Struthio camelus: one gene and its partner. The protein of the gene in region 1 interacts with the protein of each later gene in a biochemical or structural test. Links are inferred from orthologs where the notes say so. Each region holds a gene or a part of one and is shown on either strand. Other genes may lie near its edges.

Region 1 (9,057 bases):
CTTGTACTGTAATTGGTATGATAAAGGACAGAGCAACTAAGATGAAATACTGAAGAAGTTAGAGCCTTGCCTCTTTCAGAGTACCATGAAATAAAACTTTTTGCATTTCCATAGAGGAAGACAGTGCAAGATACAAAAATTACATATTCTAGCATTGTCCTTTCTTCAATGGCAATTAAAAGAATGGTAAAACTTAACTTATACTGTTCCTTCAGTATAATAAGTAACAATGCAAAAACGCTTTTTCTTGTTTCTGTTTCTAGAAGTGTTAAAATTTTGCATTCCTGGTTTTCTGAAAGAGTCTTTTTGAGGACTTGGATGTTTATAAGCACCACTTCTCTCTTAAAGAGGTAGTGTGTAGACAACGGTGTTTCTCATATTGGACGTCTGAATTGAACAGGCGCCTAAAAAGCTTTTAACAGTCTACAGAAAAGCCACTATCCCTCCATCCAAGTTTCACTTTTATGATATTTGCAGTGTCATAAACCTACTACTGATTCAGTGATTGAGGAAGAATATGACAAAAAGTTAATAGGAAAAAGAACCCTCTAATCCACATGCAAATTATATGAATAAAATAAACACGCTACCCATAAATGAGTGAAACTTGAGCGCTTAGAAGGACAGTACATAAATAAGGAGGGAGAAAAAGGAACACAAGGTATAGCAACCTAACCCCCTTCTCCTTGGCCAATCACTTAAGAAATAATTCAGTTTCTCTAATGGAATTCCCTAAATCTCAAGTGCTGGGACTGCACCCACAAGCTTTCTTTGACCTGTGGTAAGCCTGAAACTTTAAAAGAATGTCATTTTATAGTGATATTAGAACTTTTTCTGCTGTCCAGTAACACATTTCTTTAATGTTCACTGACTAAGGAAAAGACCATCAGGCACCTAAGTGAGATTTAGTAATAAGCAGTGGAGTTTTGCTCAAAGGAGTAACTAGTCTAGACGCTGCAGAAAGCATGCCATGAGATAAATTAAAATGTAATTTAACCCTGGCCACTTTCAAGAGCACTTAAACACATGCAAAATTTAAAACAACATGGACAATATTTGGTTAAAAACATTTTTCCCCAAAGAAAAGGGAGGAAAGAAAGCTTTGTTTAGAACATTTCACTGGAATTTAGCTTTGCTAGGGAAGTTTCCTTTCTTTTCAAGGCATCTGTTTTGAAAAACACATGTGTTGAGTACACAAAAGTGTGTGAGTATACATACTAATAACACTGAAAAGAATTACCACCCCCAGAGAAGCAAAACATTATCATAAGTTCACCCCACAGCACATAACAATAAGGCTGAATAGCTTAGAGGCTTAGTGATTTAGATTACTTGTTCAAATTCAGTCAAAATTAGGACTAATCACTAGCTCACCACTGGCAGGTAATCTAGATAAAATAGTTAGTATCCATCCTGTGTCAGACAAGTATCAAATGAGAGTAGTAAAAAAAATGTCCATATGTAAGTTCTTTCTCTTAACACTTTCCACAGGACTTTAATCCAAGAGAAAACACTTGTTTTTCACCTATATGTTTTAACCATAATTTTATTTGGTGTTTCACCAAATTCACTTTACAATCACCCTGCAGGTAGCTGAGATAAACAAATATAACACCCACAGGAGAACTCCAGGTCAAATTAAGATGATACTTAATCTGTAAATCAGGAGACCTAGAGTCTACCACCAATTCAATCATATGGCCTAGGGGGGAAAAAAAAAAAAAATCACCTTGTACACTGACTTCTTTATGTAAAAAAAAAAAAAAAAAAAAGAGATAATTATATTTCTTTTTAAAATGCTTTGAGAATTTTAATACAAGGGATGTTTTAAGTATGTGGTAACTATTATTTGGTTGGCAACTGCAGCATACAGTATATGGACTGACCAGCCTTAGAAAATAAAGTCATCCTTTCACATAAGTTTTTAGCAGAAGCAGGGGTTTATACCAGTGTAAAACAGCCAGTCCACTTATTCCGTGCCAGCATTAAGTAGTTTGTAAGGCCACATAGAGTGAATCAAGCCAGGGAACCTATCCAGATAAAAAGTAATTTTTTTTCCTAGGGGTTTATTTCTTTCAGCAGCAGTATTGGCTAACAATTTCATGGGTCTGTGAAACTACAGTCTTAATTGCTCAGAAACCCAATTAAAACAGTCCTCCACTGTAATGAAGTACAAAGCGGCAAGTATTATTGACCATAGCTCACCTTGCTTTGGAGGACTTCAAAATTCAGGGACCGTGAAGTCATCTCCTCTTACAGACATTTACACACATTTTAAAACAATAAAGTTTTGACCAGATCAGTAAGTAACCTTTCTCAATCATGTATATCTAACTAGCAAACACTAACTGAACCTGAGGGAACGGCCGTGTATTCTCCCTTGCAGTTCTGTATGGTTAAATGCCCTTGATGCATCTGTTTGTTAATGCAAATACTTCCACTGGTGACATTCTCCATTTCCCTAAAGCAGTTAAATCATTTTTTCTTCCTTTTCAAAACATAAGGATAAACTATTTTCTTCTACAGGTCAAACTGTAAGGAGAAAAAAAACAGTCTGTTTAGAGTGTACCACAAAAGACTGGACAATAAAAAATAGGCGTTTGAATGAAAACACTTAACGGTTTCAGAAGGCGACAGTAACACGCAACTGCTCTGTCAATGCCTTTTAAGCATTTCTGGGAAGGAAAATATACAGCTTTTTAGTAGCTTTGTAACATTTAATATTAAAAAATTTTGAACATACATTTAAATACTACACAGTGCTCAATATTCAGCTGAAAGTAAAAACAATCTATTTTGATTTCCTCTCCCATATCCCTATTCTATTAACTTAGCTTACACAGGATCTCAATCAACTCTTTCTTTTTAGAAAAGATTTAAAACAAGAACTTGGGAGGCATCAGATTAACTTTGTAGGGGCTTGGCTTGAATCAAAGGAAGCAGTTCTTTGGGTAACAGGTGGTTGGGCTGAAAAGCTCTTTTGTCAAACGATGTTTTCAGCACTAAAAATTTACATAGGATGAGCAGAAAACCGGGCACGGAAAATTTGTAAATAATTATGACTACATACATTCAAGGAAGACTCTGAGTTGAAAGTGACTGGAGGCTAGCTGAACACAAGGAGCGCTGTACGCTTGCTTCTGCTGCTCCTTTCCATTCTCGTACTCTGCTATCTCCTTTTAATAGGATATAGCTCTTATGTACAAACGCATTCTCAGTTCTTATTATTGCTTATTTCTTGAGCACGTAAGAGTAATCTTCATTGCTACCGACAGGGCAGCCATTTAAAACCAAAGCGTAAGTAGCGTTGGCACAGACAGGTACTAAGGTAATTCTAATAGCACAGAAGGATCCAACATGTCAAGGACCACCCAGAGTAGAAGTACAACACTGGCGTGAGAATTTTCAGGATATAACAGTCATGAGTATCTCAAGTCTATCCACTGTGTTAATTGCATTTTTGTTGCACAGCAAGTACGAGACCACGACCCGAGGTAAAGCAGAGATGCACGTGCTACCGTATACGTCCATCTGGAAGAAACGTTTGAATCCGGTCTGCTGAAGTGCGGCTTTCCTCCGAACCTTCAGCGTTCCCCGGGGGAGATAAGGGGGAACTAACACCATCAAGCACCACCACTGCAGCGGCGAAACCCTCGTGAGGCGGCGGCACCGCGGCCCAACCGGCGGCCGCCGGCCCGCCGCCGCCACCACCACCACCCCAGCCGCAGCCGCGGGGCCCGGGCGGCGCGGACACCGCCTCGCCTCCGCGGAGGAGCCGCTCCTCGGTGACCGCGAAGCCGCTTTCAGACGCACAACCCCCGGCCCGGGCGGCGGGAGGCAACGCCGCCTACCTCCGGCCGCGTCCCGCTCGCTGCCGGCAGGGAGCAAGGGGCCCGGGCTCTGCCGCTCCGCCGCCGCCGCCGCCGCCGCCGCGGCAGGAGGGGCCCGGGAAGGGCCCGTTATGGCCCCCACGCCCTGGCCGAGCCGCTCTCGAGCCCCGCCAGCGCCCTCTCCTCGCCGCCGCGGCACGCCGGACCTACCTGCAGCGAAAAGGCAGCGGCGGCGGTAGCAGCAGCAGCGCCCCGGGCCCGGGCGTGTGCGTAGGGCGCTCGGCCACGCCCCTGCGACGACGGCAACGACCTCCGCGGCCCTCAACGCCGCCGGCAGCGGCTCCTCGGTCGCTCCGCCAGCGCCCCCCCCTCCCGCCACCGCCGCCACGGGTCCCTCAGTTCGGCGCCGCCATTTTGTCGGTGCCTCCGCCGCGGAAGGTTTCCCGGATATAGGCAGCTCCCAGCCTCCTTTGCGCCCCCCCCCCCCCCAACCCGGTATGGAATGCAGCGGCCGGCGCGGCCCAGCCGCGAGCGCCCCACGCGGGCAGGGCGGTGCGTCCCCCCCCCCCCCCCCCCGCCATGGTAAACGGCCGTTTGCCCCCTCCCCCGCCCGGCGCCACTACCTTGTAGCGGTAACGGGAGCTGCTCCACACGGAGCCCCCCGCAAGGGGGAAAGAGGTTTCAGGCATCGCTTTTTTTTTTTTTTTCCTCTCCTCCTTTTAATGGCACAAAAACCTCGTCAACCTGGAGCCTCGTCAAGCGCTAGGAGTCTAGTGAAGCTGAGCTCAAAACCCGGTTAATCACCACAGCTGAGCTCGCATGGTATTATCGACTGCAATAGATGCTCACCACGGCTGCGAGCATGCTGATCAATAAACTTCGGTTTTCCAAGGGGAAAGATCGCCGACACGACTGAATAAAAGACTTCTTACAGACCCCCATCTATAAGTTCCCCAAGAAGAATGATCACTTCCCTACTCAAGCAAAGTGTCCCATTTCAAACAAATAGGGAAATTTAAAAACTAAAATTTAAAACTAGTAAGCCTCCTAGCAACTCAAGTTCTTTTCTGAAGAATACCCCTTAACTAAGGTACAACCCACGTTCTTCAGCTAGACACACAGGAAATTCAAATCAGGCAAGTCATTGTGAGAAAAGATGAAGAACACTCTTCTCACCGCCTCGAGAGTGAAATACTCTAAAGCTGTTTCGCTGACGAGTGATTTTTAAAGCCTTATAACTCCATCTGCTGCTGCCCAGATCCTAAGATTTCCCTCAAAGTGCCAAATCCCATTCTCAAACCCAGTCCAGAGAGCTCTTAGGGTTATTTACCCTCCTGCAACAACAAACTAAAAAGCACATCTACTAAACTAATCTAGTAAGTCAGGCCAGTACTCTTGTGCAAAATACTTTATTAAAAAGAGAAAGGGTTCTCTGCAACAAAAGGTAGGTACAGCAGTCATCCTAAAATTAATTTTTCAAAGATTGCAAAACAAGACTAGATGGAAAACTGATAGCGTCAGTCATGGTCTTTGTCACAGATGGTCTTTGTCACAGATGTGTCTCCATCACATATTTTAAAACAGCCAACATGTCCATCACTTATGGCCACTGAGCTATAAAAACACTTTTCTGATGAGAGAGTTATAGGCACATTATCCAGATGGAGTTTTAACACGTTGTATCCGTGATGAAGTTGTAGTAATCCAAAATAATGCTACTAAAATGCTAAAAGTCTTATAGGACCTTTCATATTTTACAGCTTTTACAGGTTTCCTTTCCAGTTCTCATGCACCAGCGTAAAAAGCTATGCTTCCAAAAAATATATATATATAAAAATCTCAAATAAAAAGCAGTCTCTCTCAGCCGACATAAAAAGAACATCAAAGAACCTTATGATTTGGCCTTAACATGTGGAATGTCTCTACATATACATGAATAATCAGGGGTTTAGTTTTTCTTCACCTTGTGCATTATGGACATCAGCTAAGAACAAACATCTTGCACTTACAGCTAGCTTCCTGCTTGCCAAAATGAAGCAGGCAACGGGGAAGAAGTGAGATCAAGCTTACACAAAAGCTGGTTTAATTACCCATGGTAGAGCATGAATAATAAGGGGCAACTTTAAGAGTCTGAGGTAACTTGCATTCCTTTTGCAATAGCAGAACTAAGCTGTAGGCCTCTCTCCCACATGCTCATAACAGTTTAGTTGGAAACCCTCATGAACCTGATGCGTTTCCCAGTAGTTCAAGGTGATTCAGAGTGACACTGAAGTAGTTTCATGCAAAAAGGTGTCTGTTAACATAAATAGCCTCTGCATCAGTACCATACACTAGACATGGTCCTAAAATATCTAAACTGTTCACAGACAAAGTCTGATGTGGAATTAAGTTGGTAATCTCCATGCGGTCTTTGGTAGGATCGTTGCTTAGCCAGGCACTTACTACAGATTGGTTAACGGTATTGTGGGAAAAATATGTAGTACTTCTTCCTCCTGAAAGTGAGGGAAAGGGAAAAAAAATTAGTTCCAATTTAGTTTAGTCTCAGAATTTGGAGAAACATAGCAACTAAAGGAGAGACATAACGGGAAAAGCATTTTAAATTTAAATCAGTTTTCAGATTAGCTAAATGATGTACTAGTCTTCCTGGTAAACAACAACAAAATAGCTAAAAGCCAAGTACTTCAAATGTTTACAGAAGCCTGCTACCAGCTCTCTCCTCAGTTAAGAGGGCAAATAAGTCAGTACAACTAAGAACCCATCTCATTGAGCAAATAGTATGAGCAACTACAAGTTTTTCTAGCTGAAGACTAAAGCAATGGACCTATGAACCAAAGTCCACTTACGCAGTGGCCTTGCTATATTTGAGGCATCAGCTTTGCTGTAATAACATTTACTCCCCACTGTACCTTCTCTCTACCTAATCTGGAGAAAGTGATATACCTGGATTTGACTTCAAGCTTTTTCCACAAAAAAATTCAAATCCAAACTGAAGTTTTGCAGTTTGAGAACTATCAGCCAGTATAAAGCTTACAATGGTTTAAAATGGTGCACTTAAGGGGTTATGCAGTATACCTGAGAACATGCAGAGTGCGATTTGACTCTCAGTTATACTATTATTCCCCTGTACAGAACTCAACTTTGAATGGCAGCTTTGAGGCCAGAGGCAGAAGATATTTGAAAGTTCTCCACTTCCCCCACTTCAGAGTTTCCCCTCTGAAGTTGCAAGCAATTAAGCAGTCTGAGATTAGAAAGCAAAAAGGCATTTTTACATCAGTTTCATGTCTTTGAAATCCTACCATGACACAAAGGCATACAGTTTCACTCACTGACAATCTTCCACTTATGACTTGGAAAAACTGCCTAAAGATTAAATTCATAATTCCACTATCCCGTTAACTTATAAACTATATTGGTGTTACCGAATTTTATATATCTCCCTCTGAGATTCAGGTAGCAATGTGTCATTTAGGCCTCTTTCATGTCTGGTCCGCACGGATGTGATTTAAGTGAACTAAATTTATCCCTGAAATTCTTTATGCGCCCCTTCACACACTAGACAGAGCACAGTGAGGATAGATAAAAAACACTGCTTATCCCCGTAAGTACTTAGTTGTCCTAGAGTGCCTACCCGTGTCTAAGAAAAGAAGTTGGATTTTTGTTTTCTGTATTGAGTTAGTAATAGAGAATATAAGATCAAGTGCTTTACCTAAGTTGCCAGATGACAAATTCAATGCAAGCTGACTTCAAACATCCTTACCTTGATGAAGGAAAGATGGTTTTTCAGAAACGCTTGTGGACGTATCCCAGTGCCAAAGAGATCCGTCTTCAGAACATGTAAATAAGTGATCTGGGTTGGAGGGATGGAAGTGAACTTCCCACACTAGAAGTAACAAGAGAAGGAAAAAAAAACCCAAACACTAACAACAATAAAACACACATACTTATTGGCATGCAAACCATGCTCCTCGTGATTTCTACACTGCTGTGATACTAAAAGGGGTTTGATACCTCAATTACACAGGTTATTCAATCCAACAGCAAATATGTTTAGTTACTATAAAACTATGAGCCTACTTCAGGCTACTGAAACTACTGAAGTTTATTTATGACAGTATAAAGGTAACTTTTCAAGTATCAGCTAGGATGGCTTCTTTCAATGGGGACAGCTGTCAAGATACAAAGCCATCGTCTCACTTCCTGGTATTTCAAACACGCTCATTTATCCAGCTAAGTAGTGCAGTAGGTGCCTCACAAAGGCCACCAAGGTCCTGGTATTGCAAAGTACAGAATCTAAAACTGCAATTCATGCACATGTAAAAAGGAATCACACATATAACAGTAAAATAACGCTACTACAGGTATTTTAAAAACAAACAAACCACACTCTTGGCCATATGCAGAAAGAAGCTACATAGCCAATGCCTTCCAGTTACACTAAGGAAAAGGGAAGGAAGACAGACTAATCAGCTCCAGTGAGAGAAAAGAGCTTCTAATAAAGAAGAATACTGCTTTCTGTTGGAAGTTGAAACAGGTTTTCCTTACTTTTACGGATTAATGAATCTAGACCTCAGGCTCTGAAGAGGAAAAAAACCATTTCACAAACATCAAATACCCAGCTCTGCACTGTGGCTAGTAAGTACATTCTATATCATACAAGAATCCAGGCCTCACCAAAACCTTGCATTCTTAAGGGGTAGGGGGGAACTACCATCAGTTATTTGCTGCAATCTTCCCTCCCCTGAAAAAGCAGATCACTCATTTTGCTGTACTTTCAACACTGTGAGAGTTGTTAGAAGTTAAAAGCTTGTCTGAATTCAGACATTCTCAATAGCTTTCTCATGCTTTCTTCCCTACTATTAAGTTTAAAATTTGCACACATCAAGCATTCCTTCCCAGAACAGTCATTTTGTGTCTAAATACCACAATTGTCAAAACAGTTAAGTCAGTAAAAGTTCTTATCTCAAGAAACAATGTACTCCCTAAATATAACTCTAGTATTGAATCAATAAATTGCCAGAACAGAAAGAGTCGCTACCTTCTTGTTCATATAACGGTACCAGGAAAGTGAACTGTTTCAGCATGGTGGAGGCATGAAACGGAACTGTACTATCTTCAGTCTCCTTCCTCAACCTCACATTTTCAAGCTTGTCAGTAGCTGCATTCCTGCTTTACTATGCCAGAATACTACAGCATGAATTTTTGCACTGAGACTATTAATACACTATTA
Region 2 (9,196 bases), on another chromosome or scaffold:
GATGTAAGGGTGCTCATGGGGGGTCTACGCAATCTTAGGGGGCTCAGGGGGAGCCAGAGTCCCCTGGGGTATATTGGGGTGCTCAGGAGGGTTGGGGGGGCTGGAGAGGGTCCTAGGGAAGCATTGAGGGGCTAGAGGAGTCTTGGGGTGCCCGGGGGGGGGGCCTAGGGGGCATTGGAGGCTAGAGAGGGTGCTCGGGGGAGTCCTAGGGGGCACTGGGGGGTCTAGAGGGGGTCTTGGGGTGCCTGGGAGGGTCCTAGGGGGCATTGGGGGTCTAGAGGGGGTCTTGGGGTGCCTGGGAGGGTCCTGGGTGGTTATTGGGGATCAGAGGTGGTTAGTGGGGGCCTGGAGGGGCCTAGGAGGCTGTTGGGGGGTGGGGGAGTTCCATGGGGCTTTGGGGTTCGGGGGGGTCATGGGGCACTGGCAGCCCCTGACGCCCCCCCGGACCCCCCCTGTTTCCACATGTGCCGCCCATCGCCCTGGGGGCAGCAGCTGCTGGCCGAGCTGCGGGCGCCCCCAGCCTTGCGCCCCACGCGGCGCCCCGCCGCCCTCACCACCGTCTTCCGCCGCCCCACGCCCCCTGTGAGTGCTGGATGCCTGGGCCCCGGCAGGTGGGGGGGGCTCCCAGATGACTAGATCCCCACAGGGGGACGCACCTGGACGCCTGGGCCCCTGGGGAAACCCCACTCATCTCTGCCCCTTCCCCCCTCCAGAGCCACCGTGAGGCCCCAGAGCTGGGGGGTGGGGGGGGTCGCAGCCCCCTTGCCTGCGGCCCCCCCCGACCTGAGCCACCCTCGTCCGGACCAAGGAACCCAGGCGTCCGGGGGACCCTCCCCCCAGGGACCCAGGTGTCCGGGTGTTCCCCCGGTCCCCAGGAACCCAGGTGTCCGGGACCCCCCCCATAATTGAGACCCCCCCCCCCCCCCCAACAACCCAGGCAGGAGCTGGGGCAATAAAGCACTTGATTGACAGCTGTGTCTCCACCCCTTTGTGTGGGAGGAGCCATGGAGGCGGGGCCTGCCCTGGTGCTGGGGTTATGTCACTGGTGGTGATGACATCACAGTTGCTGCGCTGTCCATGTTGGGTGATGTCACACTGCACAACAGAGGTGATTTGGGAGCGCAGGGTTGGGGCTGGGAGTCACCAGGGTGATGCGATGATGTCACATGCTGCAGCGATGTCATACGCAGTACTGCTGCTGCTTCCTAAACCTCATGACATCATTGTGATGGATTATGGTGACGCCATAGCACCCGCCCTGGTGTGCAACACTAGGTACTGCTCCCGAGCTTTTCACGGGAGGTCACACGCTGCAGTGATGACGTCAGAAACTCTTGAAGAGGGGCTTGGCCGGCTGCCACACTGCGGCCAAGAGCGGCCGGCAGCGACGTCGCGAAAGCGCGGTGCCACTCTGCCGTAAAGCAGCGCGCGGAGAGGGCGCCCAGCGGGGCCGGCCGGGATGTCGCGAAAGCGCGTGGCACGGCCGCGTCGCCAAGCGCGACGGGAAGATGGCGGCGGTGACGGTGCAGGCGGGCGCGATGGGGCCCTGGGCCGGGCCGGGGCCCGCGGCTCTGCACCGGGACTGGACCGCGGAGGCCGTCAGCACCGGCGTGAGCGGGGCCGGAGGGGCTGCGGGGCAGGAGGGGGCGCCATGGGGCGCCATGGGGCGCGGCGGGCTGGGGCAGCGGGGCTGGGGGCAGCCCCGCGGCGGGGCCTGACCCTGCCGCCCCGCAGACCACCATCATGGCCGTGGAGTTCGACGGAGGCGTCGTCATCGGGGCCGACTCGCGGACCACCACGGGGTGAGCGCGGCTCCGGGCGCTGCTGGGGGCTCCGGGCGGCCGGGCGCTGCTGGGGCCCCCCGGTCACCGGGGCGCTGCTGGTGCTCCAGGTTGCCCGGGATAGTCACCAGGGGAACCCCGACAGCAGGGTCATCGCTAGGTGTCCCCAGCCTTGGAGCTGTCACGGGGGGGGGCAGCTGTCTCCAGGGTCCTCACCGTTGCTGGGGTGGTCGCCACGGCGGTGTCACCGTGGCGCCGCTGGGGCTGCAGGTCCTACATCGCCAACCGGGTGACGGACAAGCTGACGCCGATCCACGACCGCATCTTCTGCTGCCGCTCGGGCTCCGCCGCCGACACCCAGGCCGTGGCCGATGCCGTGGCCTACCAGCTGGCCTTCCACAGGTGTGGGGGCGACGCCGTGGGGCGGGGCGATGCCGTGGGGCGCGGGGGGTCCCCGCTGCGGGTCTGACCCCCGGTGCCCCCCAGCATCGAGCTGGACGAGCCGCCCCTGGTGCACACGGCCGCCAGCCTCTTCCAGCAGACCTGCTACCGCTACCGCGAGGAGCTCACCGCCGGCATCATCGTCGCCGGCTGGGACCGCCGCCGCGGCGGGCAGGTGAGCCCCACGGCCGCAGCCCCACGGCCCCCCCGCGCCCCACAGTCACGGTGGCTGCCCCGCACCAGCCCTCCATCCCTCGCGGCGTCCCCGGGGCCTGCTGGGATCGGGGTCACCACAGGCAGGCGTCCCCTCCCCCCCCCACGTGTCCCTTGCCCCACAGGCACCTCCCAGCCCACTGAGACCCTGCTGCCCCCCACGATGCCTCTAGCCCCCCATATTCCCCCCCACCCCTGCACCCATGCATGTGTGGTGTTTCCCTGCCCCCCACACAGCTCCCCTGACCCCCAGGTGCCCCCACACTGTCTTCCTGGCCCCTCCACCCCCCACATCGCCCCCCTGAGCCCTCTGCATGCCCCCATATCGCCCCCTGGTCCCCCTGCCCCCCATCACCCCCCAGGTGCCCCCTTTGCCCCTCCTAGGTACCCACAATGCCCCGCCATGGTCCCCCTGCCCCCAGTGTCCCTCCCCAGGTGCCTGTGGTGCCCCCCCATGGCCCCCCTGACCCCCATGTGACCCCCAGGTGCCTGCAGTGCCCCCCCCACAGCCCCCTGACCCCCATGCTCCCCCCAAGGTGCCTGCAGTGCCCCCCTATGGCTCCCTGCCCCCAGTGTCCCCCCCCAGCTGCCCGTGGTGTCCCCCCACAGCCCCCCTGACCTCCGTGCACCCCCCAGGTGCCTGCAGTGCCCCCCACAGCCCCCTCGACCCCTGTGTGCCCCCCCAGCTACCCGTGGTGCCCCCCCACAGCCTCCCTGACCCCCGTGTGCACCTCAGGTGCCCGTGGTGCCCCCCCCCACCCTCCCTGACCCCCGTGTGCTCCCCAGGTGTACGCAGTGCCCATGGGGGGGCTCCTCGTCCGCCAGCCCTTCTCCGTGGGTGGCTCCGGCAGCTCCTACGTCTACGGCTTCGTCGACGCCTCCTTCCGTCCCGGCATGAGCCAGGCCGAGTGCGAGGACTTTGCTGCCCGCGGTGGGGGCCCAGGCGTCCAGGATGGATGGGTGGGGGGGACCCAGGAGGGGGGAATGGGATGGATGGGGAGGACGAAGACATGGGGCCCCAGGCGTCCAGCGGGTGGGTGACAGGATGGGCAGCGGGGGAATGGGGACAAGGGGACCCAGGCATCCGGGGAAGCTGTGGGGGGATGTAGGAAGCAGCAGGCAGGTTTATGGAAGGGAGGGAAGCAGGGCAGCGACCCAGGAGTCCGGGCAGGTTGTAGGGGAGCAGGGCAGCGACCTTAAGGCAGAGTCCAAGCCTTACCCACCATCTTCTTGCTGCAGCGCTGGCACTGGCCATGGCACGGGACGGCTCGAGCGGTGGCGTGATCCGGCTGGCGGCAGTGACGGAGCGGGGGGTCGAGCGCCGCGTCCTGGCCGGCCCCGACCTGCCTGGGGGCGACGGGGGCCCCCCGGCCTGAGGGGACAGTTAACGGTCCAGTGTGGGAGAAGGGCGGGAAGCGGGGGGGCAATAAATAGCCCCAGCTTGACGGTGGTGCTGCTGAGCAGGGCAATAAACGACACCCACGCACCCTGCCTCTGCTCTGTGCGCCACGCCGGGACCCCGTCCCGGGCTCCTGGGTCCCCTAAGCGGCACCCCTTCCCTTTGGTCACCAGTGTCCTCTAAGTTTTGGGGCCTCCCTGCCCTTTCCTCCCCTTGATGGGGTCCCCTGTCGCACTCCGGCCACCTTGGTCCTTGTGCTGCTTCCTTCCCACCAGATATTGGGGTTCCCCTTCAGTGTCTTAGTTCTCTCCCACAGATGCCCTCTGTCCCCTTTTTCCTCCCTAATATGGGGGTGCCCCTTCCCTCTCCCCAACCTGGGTCCCCCCTAAGCCTTTCCCCTCTTCAGGAATTGGGGTGCCCCTTCACCCCCCAGATACCTGGGTCCCCCTGCCCTCCCCTCTCAGGTACGGGGGTTCCCCTTCACCACCCCCCAGGCCCTCAGAGCCCCCCTGCCCTCCCAGACTTGGGGGTTCTCCTTCACCATCTTGTCCCGGACGCCGGGGTCCCTTTCCTGCCCCTTTTCCCCTCAGGAACGGGGGGGCCCCTCACCACCGACTCCCCGGACCTTGGGGTCCCCTGTCCCGGACGCCGGGGTCCCTTTCCTGCCCCTTTTCCCCTCAGGAACGGGGGGGCCCCTCACCACCGACTCCCCGGACCTTGGGGTCCCCTGTCCCGGACGCCGGGGTCCCTTTCCTGCCCCTTTTCCCCTCAGGAACGGGGGGGGCCCCTCACCACCGACTCCCCGGACCTTGGGGTCCCCTGTCCCGGACACCGGGGTCCCTTTCCTGCCCCTTTTCCCCTCAGGAACGGGGGGGCCCCTCACCACCGACTCCCCGGACCTTGGGGTCCCCTGTCCCGGACACCGGGGTCCCTTTCCCGCCCCTTTTCCCCTCAGGAACGGGGGGGCCCCTCACCACCGACCCCCGGACCTCGGGGTCCCTTTCCTGCCCCTTTTCCCCTCAGGAACGGGGGGGCCCCTCACCACTGACCCCCCGGACCTCGGGGTCCCCTGTCCCGGACGCCGGGGTCCCTTTCCTGCCCCTTTTCCCCTCAGGAACGGGGGGGCCCCTCACCACCGACCCCCGGACCTCGGGGTCCCCTGTCCCGGACGCCGGGGTCCCTTCCCCGCCCCTCCCCCATCCTCTCAGCCGCTCCCCCGTGATGTCACCGTCTCCACACGCGGCGGAGGAGGGTGGAAAGGGCGGGACCGGCCGCGCCCTCGCGCCTCGGGCAGGCGCGCGCCTCCCCCCCACTTCGCAACGCGCCTGCGCGGCACCGCCCCGCCCCTCCGGCGCGCCTGCGCGCTGCGCCGCCTCCCCCCGCGCGCCTGCGCAGTGCGCTGGGTGGCGGCGCGGGCGCTGTCAGTCGGTGGCGGAGCCGCGGCCGGAGCGGGGCCGCCCGGTCCCGTCCCGTCCCGTCCCGTCCCCATGGGGCCCCGCTGACCCCCCGCCCCGGCTCTCCCCCCCGCCCCTTCTTCCCCTTTCCTCCCTCCTGCCCCCGCCGCCATGGCGGACCCCGCCCCCGCCCGCAGCCTCGACGACATCGACCTTTCCTCCCTCCGGGTGAGCGGGGTCAAAGGGCGGCGGGTGGGAGGGCGGCCGGGGTCAAAGGGCGTGGGGGCGCGGGAACGGGGGGGCAAAGGTCACCACAGGGCCCCCCCCCTTACCGGGGTTGGTGGGCTTTCACCCTGGGAGACTCCCCGGCCTCCCCCAGTGCCCCCAGTATCCCCCAGTGCCCCCCAGTTCCCGCCGGCCTCTCACTGGCGAGCCAGAAAGACCTGCTGCCCTCTGGAGAGCCCCCCGGCCTCCCCCAGTGCCCCCAGTATCCCCCAGTGCCCCCCAGTTCCCGCCGGCCTCTCACTGGCGAGCCAGAAAGACCTGCTGCCCTCTGGAGAGCCCCCCGGCCTCCCCCAGTGCCCCCAGTATCCCCCAGTGCCCCCCAGTTCCCGCCGGCCTCTCACTGGCGAGCCAGAAAGACCTGCTGCCCTCTGGAGAGCCCCCCGGCCTCCCCCAGTATCCCCCAGTGCCCCCCAGTACCCGCCGGCCTCTCACTGGCGAGCCAGAAAGACCTGCTGCCCTCTGGAGAGCCCCCCGGCCTCTCCCAGCACTCCCCAGTATCCCCCAGTGCCCCCCAGTACCCGCCGGCCTCTCACTGGCGAGCCAGAAAGACCTGCTGCCCTCTGGAGAGCTCCCCGGCCTCCCCCAGTGCCCCCAGTATCCCCCAGTGCCCCCCAGTACCTGCCGGCCTCTCACTGGCGAGCCAGAAAGACCTGCTGCCCTCTGGAGAGCCCCCCGGCCTCCCCCAGTGCCCCCAGTATCCCCCAGTGCCCCCCAGTACCCGCCGGCCTCTCACTGGCGAGCCAGAAAGACCTGCTGCCCTCTGGAGAGCCCCCCGGCCTCCCCCAGTGCCCCCAGTACCCCCAGTGCCCCTTAGCCTTTTACTGGTTAATTAGAAAGACTTGCTGCCCTCTGGAGACAGCCCCCCCCAGTATCCCCCAGTGCCCCCCAGTAGTCCTCTTGGGCTGGTTAGAGGCTTCATTCCTCCTCAGGCCCCCCAGAGCCCCCCACCATGCTCCCACCTTGCAGGGCCTCCTCAACCACCCCCATGGCTGGGACCTGGGGGCTACCCCCCCCCGCAGCACCCCCCAACCCACCGGGGGGCAGGGGGAGCCCCCCTGGGAAAGCACCAGCCTCCCCCCGAGCTGGGATAAGGGGGGGGCTTTGCCCGAGGGGGCCCCCAGGGTGAAGGGGGGGCTCTACCCTTGACCCAGGCTAGAAATGGGTCACGTGCTGGGGAGGTCCCGCTCCCCACCAAGGATCACCCCGCTCCCACTCAGCTCTGGGGCTCCCTCATTTCTGCGACGCTCGTTTATTATTTATAATTTCGACAGGAGCTGCCACGGCATCCCGTCCCATCGGGCTGGGGCTGTGCCGAGCCCCGCTTCCGTCAGCAGAAATCAGAGCGGCCGTGGCGCCGTTCCCCTGTGCAGGGCGCCAAAAGGCGCCCTGAGCAGCCGATTTGCCCAAACTTGCTACGTTTGGGCCCAAAAACCACGTGTTGGCGGGGGGGGGGAGGGGGAAGGGAAGAAAGCCTTACAGGAGGAGATTAGCAGGCAAGGCGATTACCCATGAAGCGGCGCCTCGTGATCCCGAATTTGCAGGATTTACCCCCGCGGCGGCACCTGACTCCATGTCCAGGGCCTAGGCGCAGGCAGGCAGGCAGGCATTTTGGGGCTGAAAAGGGCGGGTTTGGTCTCATGGGGGCACGGGCGGGCGCTCCCCTGCGCCCTGCCCTGCTTCCCAGCCGTCCTTGATGCGCCGGGGCGCTGTAACCCGCTTGGCAGCTCCCAGCGGGCGCCTGGGACAGCAGGACGTGCTGACCGCGTTTCGGTGGGTTATTTATACTTGCTGGAGCGGGGGGGGGGCTGGATGCTCGGGCTCCCCCCAGATCCCCTCCGTCACCCTCATGTCCCCCTCCAGGATCCTGCCGGCATCTTTGAGCTGGTGGAAGTCGTCGGCAACGGGACATATGGGCAGGTCTATAAGGTGAGGCATTGCGGACGCGTGTCACGCCTGCGCGTGCTCCCCCCCGCACACGCAACATGCTGGGATGGTCCAAGTAGGACAGCCCGGTCGCCTGGGCCCCTGCTCCAGTCCTAAGGGCAGGAGGGGGGGACGCTGTGCGGCACCTGGACGCCGGGGTCCCCTCCTCACGCCCCCTCCGCGTCCCCCAGGGCCGGCACGTGAAGACGGGGCAGCTGGCTGCCATCAAGGTCATGGATGTGACAGAGGTGAGCGGGGTGGGGGGGACACACGTGATGCTGGAGGGACATGTGTGATGTGGGGTGGGGGACACACACGTGACCCTAGTGCTTTTCTGCCCCTGCGGCTAGGACGAGGAAGAGGAGATCAAGCAGGAGATCAACATGCTGAAGAAGTATTCGCACCACCGCAACATCGCCACCTACTACGGGGCCTTCGTCAAGAAGAGCCCCCCCGGCAATGATGACCAGCTCTGGGTGAGTCCCACCGGATCCGGGGGGGGAATCCGAGAGGGGATCCCGGAGCGATCTGGGAAGGATGTGGGGGGGGCTGAGGGTGGATTAGGGCAGATTTGGGGGTCTGGGGGGGATCTGGGGGCAGTCTAGGGCTTTGGGGGGGATCTGGAGGTCCAGGGGGGATCCAGGGGGGACCTGGGAGGAATTTGTGGGTCTGGGGAGGATCCAAGAGGGATCAAGGAGGGATCCATGGAGGAGAAGGGGCATCAGGGCAATCCATGGAGCTGAGGAGGATCCAGGGGGCCAGGAGTGGATCAGGGGGGCAGCGCTAACCCCCCGCCCCCAGCTGGTGATGGAGTTCTGCGGTGCCGGATCTGTCACGGACCTGGTGAAGAACACGAAGGGCAACGCGCTGAAGGAGGACTGCATCGCATACGTGTGCCGCGAGATCCTGCGGGTGAGTGTCACGCGTGTGCCGCGTCCTGCACATCCCATACATATGGTGTGTGCAGGGCCTGGCACATGCTGCGTGTGGGCCGTGTGCGTGTGCTCGCTTTGCACTTGCGTGTGGTGTGTGCAGGGCCTGGTATGTGCCGTGTGTATGGTGTGTGCCTGCCTCACACGTGCGCGTGGTGTATTCAGGACCTGATGCGTGCCATGTGCATGGCATGCGCCCGTCTTACACGTGTGCGTGGTGTGTGCAGGGCCTGGTGTGTGCTGTGTGCATGATATGTGCCCATCTCACGCGTGTGCGTGGCGTGTGCCGGGCCTGGCGTGTGCCATGTGTGTGGCATGCATCCGTCTCACGCGTGTGTGTGGCGTGTGCAGGGCCTGGCCCACCTCCACGCGCACAAGGTGATTCACCGTGACATCAAGGGCCAGAACGTGCTGCTCACTGAGAACGCCGAAGTCAAGCTGGGTAGGTGCTCCCAGTATGGTCTCCCAGTGCTCCCAGCGCTCCAAGTATGGCCAGCCAGCACTTCCTGTGCGAGCTACCAGTACGGGCTCCCAGTGATCCCAGTATGGCTTCCAGCGCAGGCTCCTGGTGATCCCAGTTTGGGTTTCCAGCACTCCCAATTTGGGCTCCTAGTGCCCCTAGTATGGGCTCCCAGGGTAGGCCCCTAATGCTCCCATTGCAGCTCCCAGTGTTCCCAGTATGGACTACCAGCATGGGCTCCCAGTTTGAGTTTCTAGCACTCCCAGTATGCTCTCCTGGATAGGGCTCCCAGTGCTGCTAACACAGCCTTCCAGTTTGGACCCTGGGAAGCCCTGACACCCCCCCCCCCCAGTGCTCCCAGTCCCTCC

The links.
Region 2: of the proteins of LATS1 (region 1) and MINK1, one has a biochemical effect on the other in vitro, tested with the Homo sapiens proteins (2 studies listed by BioGRID). The link is inferred for Struthio camelus from reciprocal best matches to the Homo sapiens genes LATS1 and MINK1.

What each region holds. Positions count from the first base shown.
Region 1 is NC_090944.1:82,014,989-82,024,045, reverse strand, and holds the start of LATS1 (serine/threonine-protein kinase LATS1), read right to left. Parts: upstream 4,305-9,057; 5' UTR 4,041-4,304; intron 2,434-4,040; exon of another isoform or gene 2,206-2,433; intron 1-2,205. Other genes in the region: nucleoporin Nup43, read right to left, coding at 6,108-6,322, 7,588-7,710. UniProt on the Homo sapiens protein: Negative regulator of YAP1 in the Hippo signaling pathway that plays a pivotal role in organ size control and tumor suppression by restricting proliferation and promoting apoptosis.
Region 2 is NW_027182728.1:119,803-128,998, reverse strand, and holds the start of MINK1 (misshapen-like kinase 1), read left to right. Parts: upstream 1-5,232; 5' UTR 5,233-5,399; coding exon 5,400-5,456; intron 5,457-7,372; exon of another isoform or gene 7,373-7,373; coding exon 7,374-7,439; intron 7,440-7,627; coding exon 7,628-7,684; intron 7,685-7,763; exon of another isoform or gene 7,764-7,786; coding exon 7,787-7,912; intron 7,913-8,237; coding exon 8,238-8,348; intron 8,349-8,719; coding exon 8,720-8,810; intron 8,811-9,196. Other genes in the region: PSMB6 (proteasome subunit beta type-6), read left to right, coding at 1,509-1,610, 1,735-1,802, 2,052-2,183, 2,268-2,397, 3,222-3,366, 3,675-3,811. UniProt on the Homo sapiens protein: Serine/threonine kinase which acts as a negative regulator of Ras-related Rap2-mediated signal transduction to control neuronal structure and AMPA receptor trafficking.